4 separate regions of the Mus musculus genome follow, and regions 1, 3 and 4 are each reported to be linked to region 2. The links are microRNA targets in miRTarBase. Many come from high-throughput screens and were not tested one by one. Region 2 holds a microRNA gene; each other region holds the end of a gene's coding sequence.

Region 1 (3,180 bases), not on the chromosome of region 2:
TGTTTTTAAGTGGTAATCTAGACTTATGGTTTATATAATTGTTTATATAGCCTATAAATTATCTTGCTGTGATCTTTTGGAAGTATTAATGAATTACTGCCTTCATCCTTTATGGTAAATTCTTAAGAGTATCAGCTTTCTACAGTAAGAAACACCTTTTTCTCTAGATAACAACATTTGTGTTGATAGCACAGCAACTGGTAAGTAAACGTGCTGAGCCTACTGTAGCTGATATGAAACCGTGTTTCTAAGCTGGTAATCTGAAGATTAGTATAAACCGGGTGGAGGCAGAGGGAAGGCAAGCTCAGGGCCAACCTGGGCTAGAAGGGCATGTCTTTAAAAATATAAGGAAAAAGAAAAGAGAAATCAACCCCCAGTAATAATAAAATAAATGGAAATGAAATGAGCCGCATTGTAATTCATTCTTTTTATTTTCTTTTTTAGTGCTGTAATTACAACAATTAACCATGATGAAGTTTGGTTTAAGAGGCCTGATGGAAGCAAATCTAAGCTTTACATTTCACAGCTACAGAAAGGAAAATACTCAATTAAACATTCGTAATCACGCTCTAAGTGTTCCCCACATCTACCTTGTTAGTGTTACCAAGTGTAATGTGCCATGGAAGCCAAGAGAATGCACTCAGCAGCTTAATAATTTCATCCAGTCATGAGAGACTGTGTCTTCTAGGTAGTACTCCAAGTAGACCCCACATTAGTAAGTCATTAAGAGAAATAGTGATAAACTCTAATCATGACCATCGCGTTTATTTGCCTCGCAGGTCCCGTGCCAACAGGTCTGTTTGGTATGTATTTCTTTCTCAGTGTTGCTTCATTCTGTGTCTTACTCACGTGAGTGTGTCTCACCTCTAATGGACTACCGTGCAGTCGCCTGCAGTTTTAAATCCCCGCCTCCGCTGCCACTCTTGTGTTTGTACAGATGGAAGACTTCCTATGAATGATTTCTATTAGTGCATTCGTTTCAATCAGAACTGAAATTTATACATACATGTGTGAGTGCGTCTATACAGTGTCCCCAGCAGGCTTAGAACTGATGGCCTACCTGTACAACCTCCTTTTACCCCAAATTCAACTGCTGGGTTTTCGAAGAAAAGGGAGCACTTTTCTAGACTGCTTTTCCTTCTCTTCTTCCTGGATGGCGGTGACCTCTTTTGCAGATCATATTTGGTGTTTATTAGTAGCAGTGTGTCAAGTGTGACCATGTTGCTGCCTGTGTTTCTTCTGAGCTTTTAGAGGGGCAGGTATCCTGCCTGGTGTTTATGATGCGCAGTGCCAGAGTGACAAGTGGCTGGCAGTATTGTCGTGCTTTCTGCACATCTGAACTTTTGAAGATTTTACTAAGCATTATCTAGAGGCAAAACTAGATCCTTATTCTAATTTTATTGCTAGAGTGGAATACATATAGATACTTCCCTTAACTCTACCATCCCCCAAATTAGCTTTTTTTTTTAAGTGTTTTTAACACTTTAAGGCCATTTGGTGCAATTTAGAAAATGTTGGCCTCCCTTCCCTTAGCCATATTCAGAATGAACTTGGAAGCCTCTGGAACTGTGCAGGAAACCGGAGCCCTCAGCCCGGAGGCACAGTGGGCTACAGTGTGTACGCAGGGTACAGCCAAATGAAGTGCTCTGCTGGTCTCATGCACTTTAATTTCTGTTACAGTGTATTTAAGAGGATGAGGAAGACTCACTCAACACTCCTCAAAGGAGTCTCTGCATGATTCCGTTAGTTCCTTATGACTTCACCTCTGCAGACATTCCCTGCAGGTATACTCCACAGTTGCCAAATTGTAACCATCTGACTTTCGAAGTTCAGTATCAGCAACATTGTGCTGCTCTGTTCTGTTTCTGATCACCCTTAGCGGCTGTGCAGACTGTCCCAATCCAGTAGCATTTGGCAGTGCTTATAAATATATATATATATATGATGTTTGATAAGCATTTTTAATGAGATTTGTATTTTTAAATTTAGTATGTAATAAAAAGAAGTGTTTGAGCGTCATTTGTAGTGTTGTGTGTTACTTATTCATACTCAAGTTCAGTTGTTTATACCCAGTCCTCTTGCTTGTGCTGACGTCAGCAGGCCCTCTGTGCTGGGGAAGGGCTTCTGCTCGGCTTCCCATACGTGCACCTCTATGAAGCATATGTAGGTGTTCAAGAAGCTAAGTTATATTTAACTAAAAACACACATGCAGTTGTGTTATACTTTAATAAGTGTACTCTATTTTGAAATTTTAACCAGAAAAAAATTTAAAGATTTATTTCTCACACTTACCATGAAAACTTTAATATCTGTATATGTGCCAGGAGCCTTGGACCAGCCCATGTGTGCTCCTGGTTGGTGGGAGCTCCCTGGAGTCTGGGTTAGTTGAGACTGCTGGTTTTCCTGTGTGGTCACTTTTTGCTTCCGCTTCTGCTTCTTTAATTCTTCCCCTAATTCAACCATTGGAGGAACTTCAATTCAAATGGTTGGCTGTAAGTGTCTGCATCTGTCTCAGTCAGTTGCAGATAGTGCCTCTCAGAGGACAGCCATGCCAGGCTCCTGTCTGTAAGCACATCATAGCATCAGTAATAGTGTCAGGCCTTGGTGCCCTCCACCCACCCCCTGCCCATGAGATGGAGATCAAGTTGGGATGGTCATTGGACCACTTTTCCTTCAGTCTCTTCTCCATTTTTGTCTCTGCAGTTCTTTTAGACTGGAACAATTCTGAGACAGGAATTTTGACTGTGGGTTAGTAACCCAGTCCCTCTACTTGAGGCCCTGTCTATCTATTGGAGGTGGGACTTGTTGAGTGCCCTCTCCCCAATGTTAGGCATTTTGCCTAAGACCCCAGAAGATGGAAAGATCTCCCATGCTCATGGATAGGATTAACATAGTGAAACTGTCTGCCTTACCAAAAGCAATCTACAGGTTCAATGCAATCTCCATCAAAGTTCCAACACAACTCTTCAGGCATGGAAAGAGCAATTCTCAACTTCATATGAAAAACCAAAAAACCCAGGATAGCAAAAAAAGAACTTTAGGGTATTCACCATCCCTGACTTCTAGTTGTACTACAAAGTAATTTGCATGGTATTGGTACAGAGACAGACAGGTTGATGAATGTAATAGAATCAAGGATTCACAAGGAAACCCACACACCTATGGACATTTAATCTTTGA
Region 2 (3,184 bases):
TAGTAGTATGCCCTACAAATGATTCTGTCACTTTTCACATATCAAATTTTAGAACTAGGAATTTAAAATGTTTAGAGAAGAAACAGTTCCAAAGATTTTATAGTGGCATTATTGCCACATCAAAGATATTAACATACCCAGCTTTTAACTTCCCAAATTTGTTGCAGTATTTCATGCCTTTAGCTTTGCTATTTAAGTAGATTTTTTGTGCCCTGAGAATTGTTGCTCTGTCATCAGAACTTAAACCTGGTAGTGTTTTCTCCATGTTCTTAGACAACTTCATAAGATGGCTATGGTTCAGAAGCGTCCTACAAAGGCTTATATGTATGTTAATGGTTCATTTGCAGATAGGGAACCAGAAAGGGTCAGTGTACTAGAATAACAGCCATGGGAGACACTCAAAGGACAGTGTCAGGGTTCGGACCTCAGATTCTGTATTCTGTCATTGTGCTCCAACAAATTACTGGTTGCTTATTATTAAATTCAAAAAGTATCCCATTATTCTGATGCAGTCAAGATGATGATATAGCTTGGGCAACATGCCTATAAATGTTTGTGAAGTGCTAAGCTTTATGGAAACAAGATGAATTAATATTAGAAGTTTTATAAGGTAAAAAGTAAATGTTTCTAAAGAAAAATATTAATGGAAACAAATAGAGTTGAAGGGGGAAATAGGACAATTTGGTTTGATCTATCTTCTTAAATTGTTGTAAAATTCTGTTTTCTTATACGAATAATATTAATTTCAGGTATTTAAAGATTGCCATGTATTCCTATGTACACTCAAGTTACCTTCTTAAGCAAAACATTTTGTTTTCTTTTCAGAATGGCTTTTTTTTCCTTTTAAGAACATTAGTAAAAAGTTGAACTATGTAAAAACCCAACAAAGAAAAATTATTTTGGTCCTTAGGCCAGAATATAAACCACTGAATTTGGAACGGGGCATGATGGTGCACGCCTTTAATCCTAGCATGCAGGAGGGAAACCAGGCAGATAGATCTCTGAGTTCCAGTCCAGCCTGGTCTATAGAATGAATTGCAGGACAGCAGCCACTGTCCTCAAAACCTCTCTCAAAAAACCACTGAATTTGAAATTATAATCATTGTATAAAGATAAAGGACAAAATCACTTTTAGCAGCTTTTATCTTTATTTTCAGACTTTTTTTTTTTAAGCTGGCACACTTGAAAGCAAAGGTTTGAAGATTTAAAGACGTTTTGATATTTCAAATGACCCAACATGAACGGGAATGGAGAAATGGCATTGACCCACTAGAAAACATTTGCTACACAGTAATCTAGTTTGAATGGAAAATCTGGTATGAACTGGAATAATAAGAACAGTTCTTTGTGAAGGGATGGCTAAGTCCCCCACTAAACAGAAAAGAGTCTTCTTAATAGTGTAAGAAAACCTAGATATTCACACACACATAAAATGAAGTTGGAACTTAACGTAGTAAAAATTTTGTTTCAGCTAAGTCAAAGTCCTGTGGTATAAAATGATACTCCTTTAAAGGACTAGCCTTTTTAACTGGGAAACACACAAATGGTTACTTAGGCTTGAGCTACAGGATTTCTGATATATCCTTTTAGGAAACCAAATAGACCTGTTATCCTAAGATGATGTTCTGGGTAATAATAAATGACACTGAACTCACAATAACTATTCCAATATTGAGATAAATCTTGTGTTCATGTGTAGATTGGGGGTTATATATTTTTGGGGAATATGTTTCATGTGTATGTCTTCTAAATATTTTGCTAGTATAAATTTCTTGAAACTGAGCTCTTACATGTTTGTTCTTACATGTTTCCTTTAACATGAAGCTTTGTCCTATGGATTTGGCTTTGAAAGATGTGCTGCTCTTAATAAGGTAAAAACCAACTTTTGTAGCTATTTCATGTGTTAAGCACATTCAAAAGTTGTTAGTTTAATAAATGAGGTTCTTAAGTTGGTATGGGAAAATGACTTGCTTTTCTCGTTTCATGACTACAATAAATTACAGCACTGTATTAAGTTTTCTGTACGCTTTTATTAAACTTATGATATGGAAATACTTTTTATTCTGCTGAAAGCCTATAAAATTATGCACATACCAGTGTTAGATTTTTTTCAAACATAGATTTTATGTGTTCTACTTTTTCCTAAAAAGCCTTTTCTGTAAATTACTATTGAGGTGCTAGGAGTTTTCAAAACCAACCCTTGGAGTAAAGTAGCAGCACATAATGGTTTGTGGATGTTGAAAAGGTGCAGGCCATACTGTGCTGCCTCAAAATACAAGGACCTGATCTTCTGAAGAGAGTACCTGTCTTTTTATTCATAGCTCCTATGATAGCAATGTCAGCGGTGCCTTAGCAGCACGTAAATATTGGCGTTAAGATTCTGAAATTACCTCCAGTATTGACTGTGCTGCTGAAGTAAGGTTGGCAATACTCTACAACTGTAATTCAATGTGTATTGATGTTACTTGTGTGTTTACACGGTTTTTCTAATTGCATTAGTGATTTTATGTTTGGTATGATTCTGTAATGATGTTAGTAACAACGCTCTACATATTGTGTCTGTTAAAATACTATATAATTGTGGGATGGTAATGCAGCTCAGTTGGCCAAGTGCTTCTTGCTAGCATGCACAAGGCCATGGGTTTTAGCCTTACCACTGCATACCAGGTACACTTGTAATCCTAGATCTGAGGAAGTGGAAAAAAGAGAATTAGAGGCTTAACATCATCCTTGGCCATAAAGCAAGTCTAAGACCTATGTAAGGATCTGTCTTTTAAAAACAAACAAAACATAATGACTTCTGTGTGAGGAACTGATTATAGGACTTCTAGATACCCAGATTTGTAAATGCTTGGATCTCCTGTATAAAATGTCTGCTCGTGACCAGTGCATATCCTCCCTTATACTTATTTAAACTTATCTCTACATTGTTTTTAATGTGTAGTGCAGTGGGATGTTAACATGGATAGTTGTATTATTCAAGTTATTCTCTTAATGATGAGAAAAAAACTGTACAATTCAGTACTAATGCAGTTTTTGTCCAAGAAATAAGTTTTTTGGTTTGGTCTTTTGAGCCTGGGTCTCACCATGTAGACCAGGCTGCCATGAAACTCACTGAGATCCTCTTGCCTCCGCCTCCCAAATTCTTTGTTTAAAACTGTAGGCCCCAATGCCTGGCCACCCA
Region 3 (3,184 bases), not on the chromosome of region 2:
GTCAGTAAAACCAGCAGCAAAACAGTAAACCCCGCTGCTATCTTTACAGCCTAAACCAACTAGTGAACCGGCACCTCCAAGTGTGACGCGCAGGCTGCTGGAATACTGTTATCCGAGCTGTTCTTGGCAGATTTCCTTAAGGAAACTTGAACTCTTCTAAAGAACCGTTTTATTCCTTGTAATGTGTGTGCTATCTTTTTGCTACTATGGAACTAACTTTCACGTCAGAGTTTTGTTTATTATTATTTATAAATCTATATTGATATTTGGTACTTTTGAAGGAAATGCAGAAGAAGTCTTATTTCTTAAATAGGCAAACATATTAGGACCATCTCACCAGGCTTGCTTCTTTCCTCTGTAATTCAGACTGCCACATTCCAGAACTGGATGCGCACCCACTGTCCAAAGCTCTGCTCTACATTCACTGCAGTAGAAAGGGTCAAATCTGATTTAACCATAAATCCCGCACAGGTTGAGTACAGGTTAAGTTTAGGGGAGAAAACTATTACTTGCTCTATAAATAGACCCATCCTAAATCACGTTTGAGGAAATGGCTTTGGGCCCATTGGGCTCATCTTCATTGGTCACTTCATTCTCTTCAGAGGCGATCTCAAGAAAGCAGTATGGAGTTGTCTTCTCAGAGGGTCCTGTCTCAGGCAGTGCTTGCCGGTGACAGGTAAGTCAGAGATGGACCAGCAGACTGAGTTTTTCTGTATGCCACAAATGTAGGCCAAGTGACTACTGTTCTACTCATCCCACATGTCCGTGGTGGGGAGATGTAGTAAATAAATGATAACAATGAATGTTTACTAAGTCCTTATGTCCCAAATACTTTAGATGACTTAAATCGGCCATTCGACATGATTTAGTTAGGCGCTAACAGCGGTAACAAACACAACACTGTAGAAAGTTGTCCGGGAGTGGAAGTGCACACCTGGTGGTTTCTGATCCCTAGAAGCAGCTACACCTTTGTCTCATCTTCCTTTGAGTTCCTTACAATGTGCAAACATTTTTTTTTTATCGCTTCCAATTTACTTCAAGATTCCCTTATCACTCTATTCTCGCAGGCTTGATTGTTTGCAGTTGTAGGAAACCACACAAATGTGAGTCCTGAATCCCAGACAGACAGCACACTGCTGATAATGCTTTCAGTGACCACTTCTGGCAGTCTTGTATGTGAGTCCATCTGCTCCGTGATGCTGCGAAGCAGCTCATGACATCCTGTTTTGTGCACATCCCACGATTCAATACTGCTTAGTGGGTCTTAACACAAGCTGCTGGCTTTGTTGGTATTTATTAGATATGTGATGAATACCTTAAATCCCATGAATCCTTATTTCATTTTATAGATGTAAGAAAATGGGCATGTCCAACCAACATTGCCTGACTTTACACCCTTGGGAGTGACAAGCATTTGCAAGGTCACAGTCTCTGAGGTCACATAGGCTTCAAGGGAGATGTGAAGTTCTGGTCCCCACCACTCACATGTTAGCTGAATGGCAAGTTAGTTTGGACTTCCTAAGTCCCAGTCTTTTTATCTGCACAATAAAGCTAGTAATAGCTACCCTGAACAGCTCCAACAAAGTTGACAAATCGCATCTATAAAGGTCCAGCAGAGATGACATAAGAGCTAAGAGAACCATAGCAACTAGGTTTTCCATTGATTGTCTCTGCATTGCATGATTGCCTACAGCAGCATCCCAACAATTTGTCTGTTTTAAGAGATGGCCAGTCAAGTATAGGACCAGTTGATACAGGGAGAAGTAAAGGTCAAATAAATAAATAAATAATAAATAAATAAACAATCTTGAATATTTTTACAAATTTACTTTCTCATTCAACCGCTTCCATATGCAGGTTGAACCAGTCTTAATTAGTTAAGAAAATGGGAGTTATTTTCATTACCTTTATAACTTTAGTCTAGAAAAACTTTGATAGTCACCTTGAAGTTTTCACAACTACTCTATAAGAAAACACTACCATCAAACTGATTTTGGTGTCAATCAAATAATAAAGATATTGAGATGGGCTTTAGAAAGAACATTCCAGAAGTGAGCCCATTATAGAGGTGGCTACGATTGTCAGGTAAGCCTCAAGAAGGCAAACCACACCGAGATTAAACCCTATGGCAAAGTTCTTTACTAAAGTGACTGACTAGAGTTCTGTGGCCTCAACTGACTGAGTCGATAACTTGCACAGCAAAGATACTTCTGTGACCTGAAGAACTGGAGTTAGAAGAGATAACATGCCCATGGTCTCCAGGGACCTTCAATGCCCAAACTACACTCTAGAAGCACAGACTTCCACAGACCGAGTCATCTCTACGATTGTGGTATCTAGCTGGCATTCTTTCATTAGTGGGATCAAACATTCTTTAAAAAGACTCCGAACTCAGCGACAGTGACCACGAATCACCCCACACCAGACTGTTCAGGTCATAATAAAGCTTCATGCGTCTGGATTGTCCCAGCAAACTGATGAGGACACTTCAGAAAATGTTTCCACTGATTAAACTGCAAAGTATCTCTTTCATGCTCCACAGAAGCTCCTGCAGGGAAGTGACATAGAGTCTTCTAACCACAAATAATGAGATGACTCGTTTTAAATCCATGAGTACAGTTGGTGAACTGAAAAAAAAATCAAGAACCAGAAACATCAAAATACTTTTGAGGGCGCAGTTCTGCTCGGAGGACTCCATGGTGGGTGTGTCTCGCTCTCAAGGAAGGAGTGGCGCTTCTTCTGTTTCCGTTCAATTCTTTCTTGCCTTTCTTTCTTTTCCTAAAAGGGGGGGGGGGTGGACAACAGAAAACTCTAAGTTTATATATACTACGTGAACTTGCTATTAAATCGGATTATTAGAAGAAAATAATTCATTTTAAGATCCCCGTATACAATTAGTTGTTTAGTTAGTGATAAACAAGCAGCTAGGGAATATTGCTGATTTGCATGATTATATACGGATTTACTATGAATCTATATGAATGTCACATCATCTTGTTTGTCTTTTGAGAGAGACTCTCATCAAGCATGGTCTAGCACCAAATCACTACACAGTCAAGGAGGACCCTGGACTTCTAACCCTCCAGCTCCCCGCTTCCCAACTGCTGGGATTAAAGGAGTGAACCAGCATCATGCCTGGCTTCACCCTACATTCAAAATGTTGATGGCATAATAAAAATGATGT
Region 4 (3,184 bases), not on the chromosome of region 2:
CTCTCCTTACCCCATGTGCATCTCTCTCCAGGGCACATGCAGATGCCTGGATACGTTCAAACTGTGCAGAAGAACATAGGACATCTCAGAGAAGATACGTATGGTAGTTTGGATGAAAACATGTTCTCCACAGGCTCATATATTTTAAAGACTTAGTCCCCAGCTGGTGATGTTGTTTGGGAGAGTTGTGGAACCTTTCGAAGGCAGTGGCTTACTGGAGGAAGTATGTCACTCATGGTGGGTTTCGAGAGTTTAAGTATGTCACGCAGGGTGGGTTTCGAGAGTTAATAGCCTTGACCTACTTCCAATTTGTTCTCTGTGTATGACTGGAGAGGTGATCTCTCAGCTTCCTGCTCCTGCTACCTGGCACTATGCCCACCCTGCTGTTGTGTCCAAATAGCAATAGCCACAGTGTGGTTCACAGACTCGGGTAATTGAATGCTTGGTCTCCAGTTGGTGGCGCTGTTTGGTGTTGTGGTATAGCATTGCTGAAGGAGGTTATGTCGCTGGGCCAAGCCTTGGGAATTCAAAGCCTCATCTCATTTCCAGCTCACTCTCTCTGGTTCAAGTTTATATTGAAGATGTCTTCTCCCAGCCTCCGTACCTATCACTTACTGTCTTAACTTTCTTCCGTGATGCAGATTCTTATCCCCTGAAACTGTAAGCCAAAATTAACTCTTTCTTCCCTGAGTTGCTCTTGATCATGGTGTTCTTTCACAGAAACAGAAAAGTAACCAATGAAGACAAGACTGGGAAACTGCTCCTACGTCCATGAGCAACGGGACATGGGATATCCTTGCAAGTGTGTGTGACCCACTGGATAGTGCAGCTGTGAGCTGTCAGCAGTCACAGGGAATGGTGCCAGCACATAGGGAATGGGTGTGCTTGCTCTCGACAGAGGTCTGAGGCAGAGCCTAGTGCCTTGTAGAGCTTTTTGTATTTCTTGCCCCAACAGCACGACAGACCTGTACTCAGAGCACTTTCTTGTGGGCTACACACACACACACACACACACACACAGAGAGAGAGACAGAGAGAGAGAGAGAGACAGAGACAGAGAGAGAGACAGAGAGAGAGACAGAGACAGAGACAAACACACAAAATCTCACTTAAGCCTTGTGAGATGCCCAAGAAGTAGATTTTAAAAAAAATTTAAATCCTCATTTCATAGCGCAAGAGTATGAAGCCCAAGGAGGGCTAATCCCAGCATTACTGAGTAAGTTGCAGGACCAGGATTATTAGACCCCGAAGTCTGGCTCGTTTACAAATGGCTGAGATAATTTTTGCTCAAATGAGAACAGTACACATGGGAGAGAGGGGGCAAACTGAAAGGTTAATCTAGAATTCAAGGAAACACTCATTTCAGCCCTGACAGAGTGTGAGGCTGGGCAAACATCACAGATGCAGGCTTCGAATTCTTGGAAGGGAGCTTCCTGCCACCTTCTCTTCCACAGTTGTCAATGGTTAGCAGGACAATCGCTTTCCTGTAGGGTGTTGGTTTGTGTGTTGGGGGTGGGGAGGCTCCTAAGGAGAACACTCTGACCTTAGCACTTTGAATAACGACCACAGTGACAATGAACAAGAAAAGAAGCCACTTCCTGGTAGTCAACTGTAGAAAAATAATTTTATTTACTACTGTAAATAAAGTAGTGCAAAGATAGTTTGAACCCACAGTATTGCGTTACTGATTTATTTACTACTGTAGCAGCATACAGTGCACAGACACTCTGTTCTTTTTTTGTCCTCTTACACACACTCTCTCTCACACACACACACCTATACAGACACAGGCAGGCATAAGGGGTGGTGATGAACCTATGAACTAACAGCTTGTTTTTTGTCTGCGTATTCCATTGCTGCCAGTCTATTCTAATGGTGACTCATGGGGAAGCAGACTACACTTAAACGGTAAAGATTTCCTAGATGTTATTGCATGTGTTATGATGGAAACATAAACGATACCCAATAATGTCATCAAATGATTTGGAAGCACTATGACCTCTAGAAAAATCCACAGGGGGAAAAAATGTAAACCAATGTACAATGTTATCGCCTTCCCTGTGTGTGGAGTGTTTGTCTCAAGGCTCCTTCTAGCTGCTGGATTTGGGACTCAGAGAGCAACCAGCTGGGCTTTTGCGGAGCAGGATGCGGTGGCAAACAGAGGTACTGAAGCATCGTCAGTCAGCCTTGGAGATAAGTTCCTATTCTCTGGTAAAAGGGGATGAAGACAGACTAAAACTTTTAAAAATGACTCTATATGGACGCTCCACATATGGACTGCGGTTCCCAGAACAGTCACCAGGAAGGAAAGTCCAAAGCCTCAGCTCGCCTCCCCCGATTCCCCTGTTTTCCGGGTAACCCTTGAATCTGTTGGATAACTACAGTCTGCTCTGCCTATGTTCTTGTTTAAACATAAACAAAAAGACACCAAGTGCAAAGTTGGCATCCAGTTCACAAGACTTTTAAGGTATTTATCAGTGTAACGCCTGGCACCAGCCTTCCCAAACCAGCTGCTAAAAGGACCGTCTCTCAGCTGGAGAGACCAGGGGCGCACAGTTCACCCACGAGGCTCAGGGCCGTTAGCCATCATGGGTGGGTCGTGGTCGGAGGCATCTGCAGCCGGAGGCACAGCTGGACTTGGGGTGGATGAGGTGGGGTCTGCCGAGACCCAGGCTGGTGCTGGAGAGGAGCCACTGGCTGCGGAGACATAAAAACAGAGTTGAACATTTGAAAGAAGCCCCTGTGGAACACCAAGCCCCACCCAGTAAGCAGGAGGAGGTGCTCCTTGGCTGGTGGCCCAAAGTCTAGGTAAATAGACAACCTTGGACCATTATCTAGGTTCTTTGGACTTTTGTGTTCCCTTCTATAAAATACCAGGTTGGAATAGCTCTGTAAAGATCCCTGATGGTTCTCATGTCCTACAGTTCTAAGCCACTGCGTGTCTTCCAGGATTTCCAGGCAAATGGTTGCTGTGATCACTTTGATAAGTTTTGTGAGCTATGATCCTATTCCCTCCCCCTGACCCATGATGTCAATATAATACAACCATGAGTAGTGTCAAACAGTCAGAGGAGGGCTAGTTTTATTTACATTCTTATCCCATTTGGATTGTGTGTCAAATTCAGCCCAAGTTATTTTATTTAAATAATTGTACAAAACAACTGAAAAAAAATACAATTGCTGT

Evidence for each region. The annotated mature microRNA mmu-miR-15a-5p reads UAGCAGCACAUAAUGGUUUGUG and lies in region 2 at 2,212-2,233, shown strand. An mRNA with a match to its seed (bases 2 to 7 or 8) in the 3' UTR can be bound and repressed. Matches are read on the target gene's strand: a 7mer-m8 pairs with bases 2 to 8, a 7mer-A1 pairs with bases 2 to 7 and ends in A, and an 8mer does both.
Region 1: the mRNA of Brms1l is a reported target of mmu-miR-15a-5p. Seed matches in the 3' UTR shown: 7mer-m8 at 1,848-1,854.
Region 3: the mRNA of Map9 is a reported target of mmu-miR-15a-5p. Seed matches in the 3' UTR shown: 7mer-m8 at 1,692-1,698 and 7mer-m8 at 13-19.
Region 4: the mRNA of Sel1l3 is a reported target of mmu-miR-15a-5p. Seed matches in the 3' UTR shown: 8mer at 1,703-1,710.

Annotation. Positions count from the first base shown.
Region 1 is chr12:55,867,718-55,870,897 of GRCm38, forward strand. Brms1l (breast cancer metastasis-suppressor 1-like) reads left to right here. Exons shown (of 10, transcript NM_001037756.3): 10 at 445-2,019. The coding sequence ends at 562. Among named protein-coding and RNA genes, the nearest start is that of Brms1l, 33 kb to the left of the region's middle.
Region 2 is chr14:61,631,124-61,634,307 of GRCm38, reverse strand. It overlaps Mir15a (microRNA 15a), which reads left to right and starts at 2,198; the gene lies at 2,198-2,281. It overlaps Dleu2 (deleted in lymphocytic leukemia, 2), which reads left to right. Exons shown (of 7, transcript NR_028264.1): 4 at 1,825-1,871. Mir16-1 (microRNA 16-1) reads left to right here and starts at 2,336; the gene lies at 2,336-2,428.
Region 3 is chr3:82,390,722-82,393,905 of GRCm38, reverse strand. It overlaps Map9 (microtubule-associated protein 9), which reads right to left. Exons shown (of 14, transcript NM_001081230.1): 14 at 1-2,778. The coding sequence ends at 2,656. Among named protein-coding and RNA genes, the nearest start is that of Map9, 34 kb to the right of the region's middle.
Region 4 is chr5:53,105,478-53,108,661 of GRCm38, forward strand. Sel1l3 (sel-1 suppressor of lin-12-like 3 (C. elegans)) reads right to left here. Exons shown (of 24, transcript NM_172710.3): 24 at 1,606-2,697. The coding sequence ends at 2,558. Among named protein-coding and RNA genes, the nearest start is that of Gm17182, 58 kb to the left of the region's middle.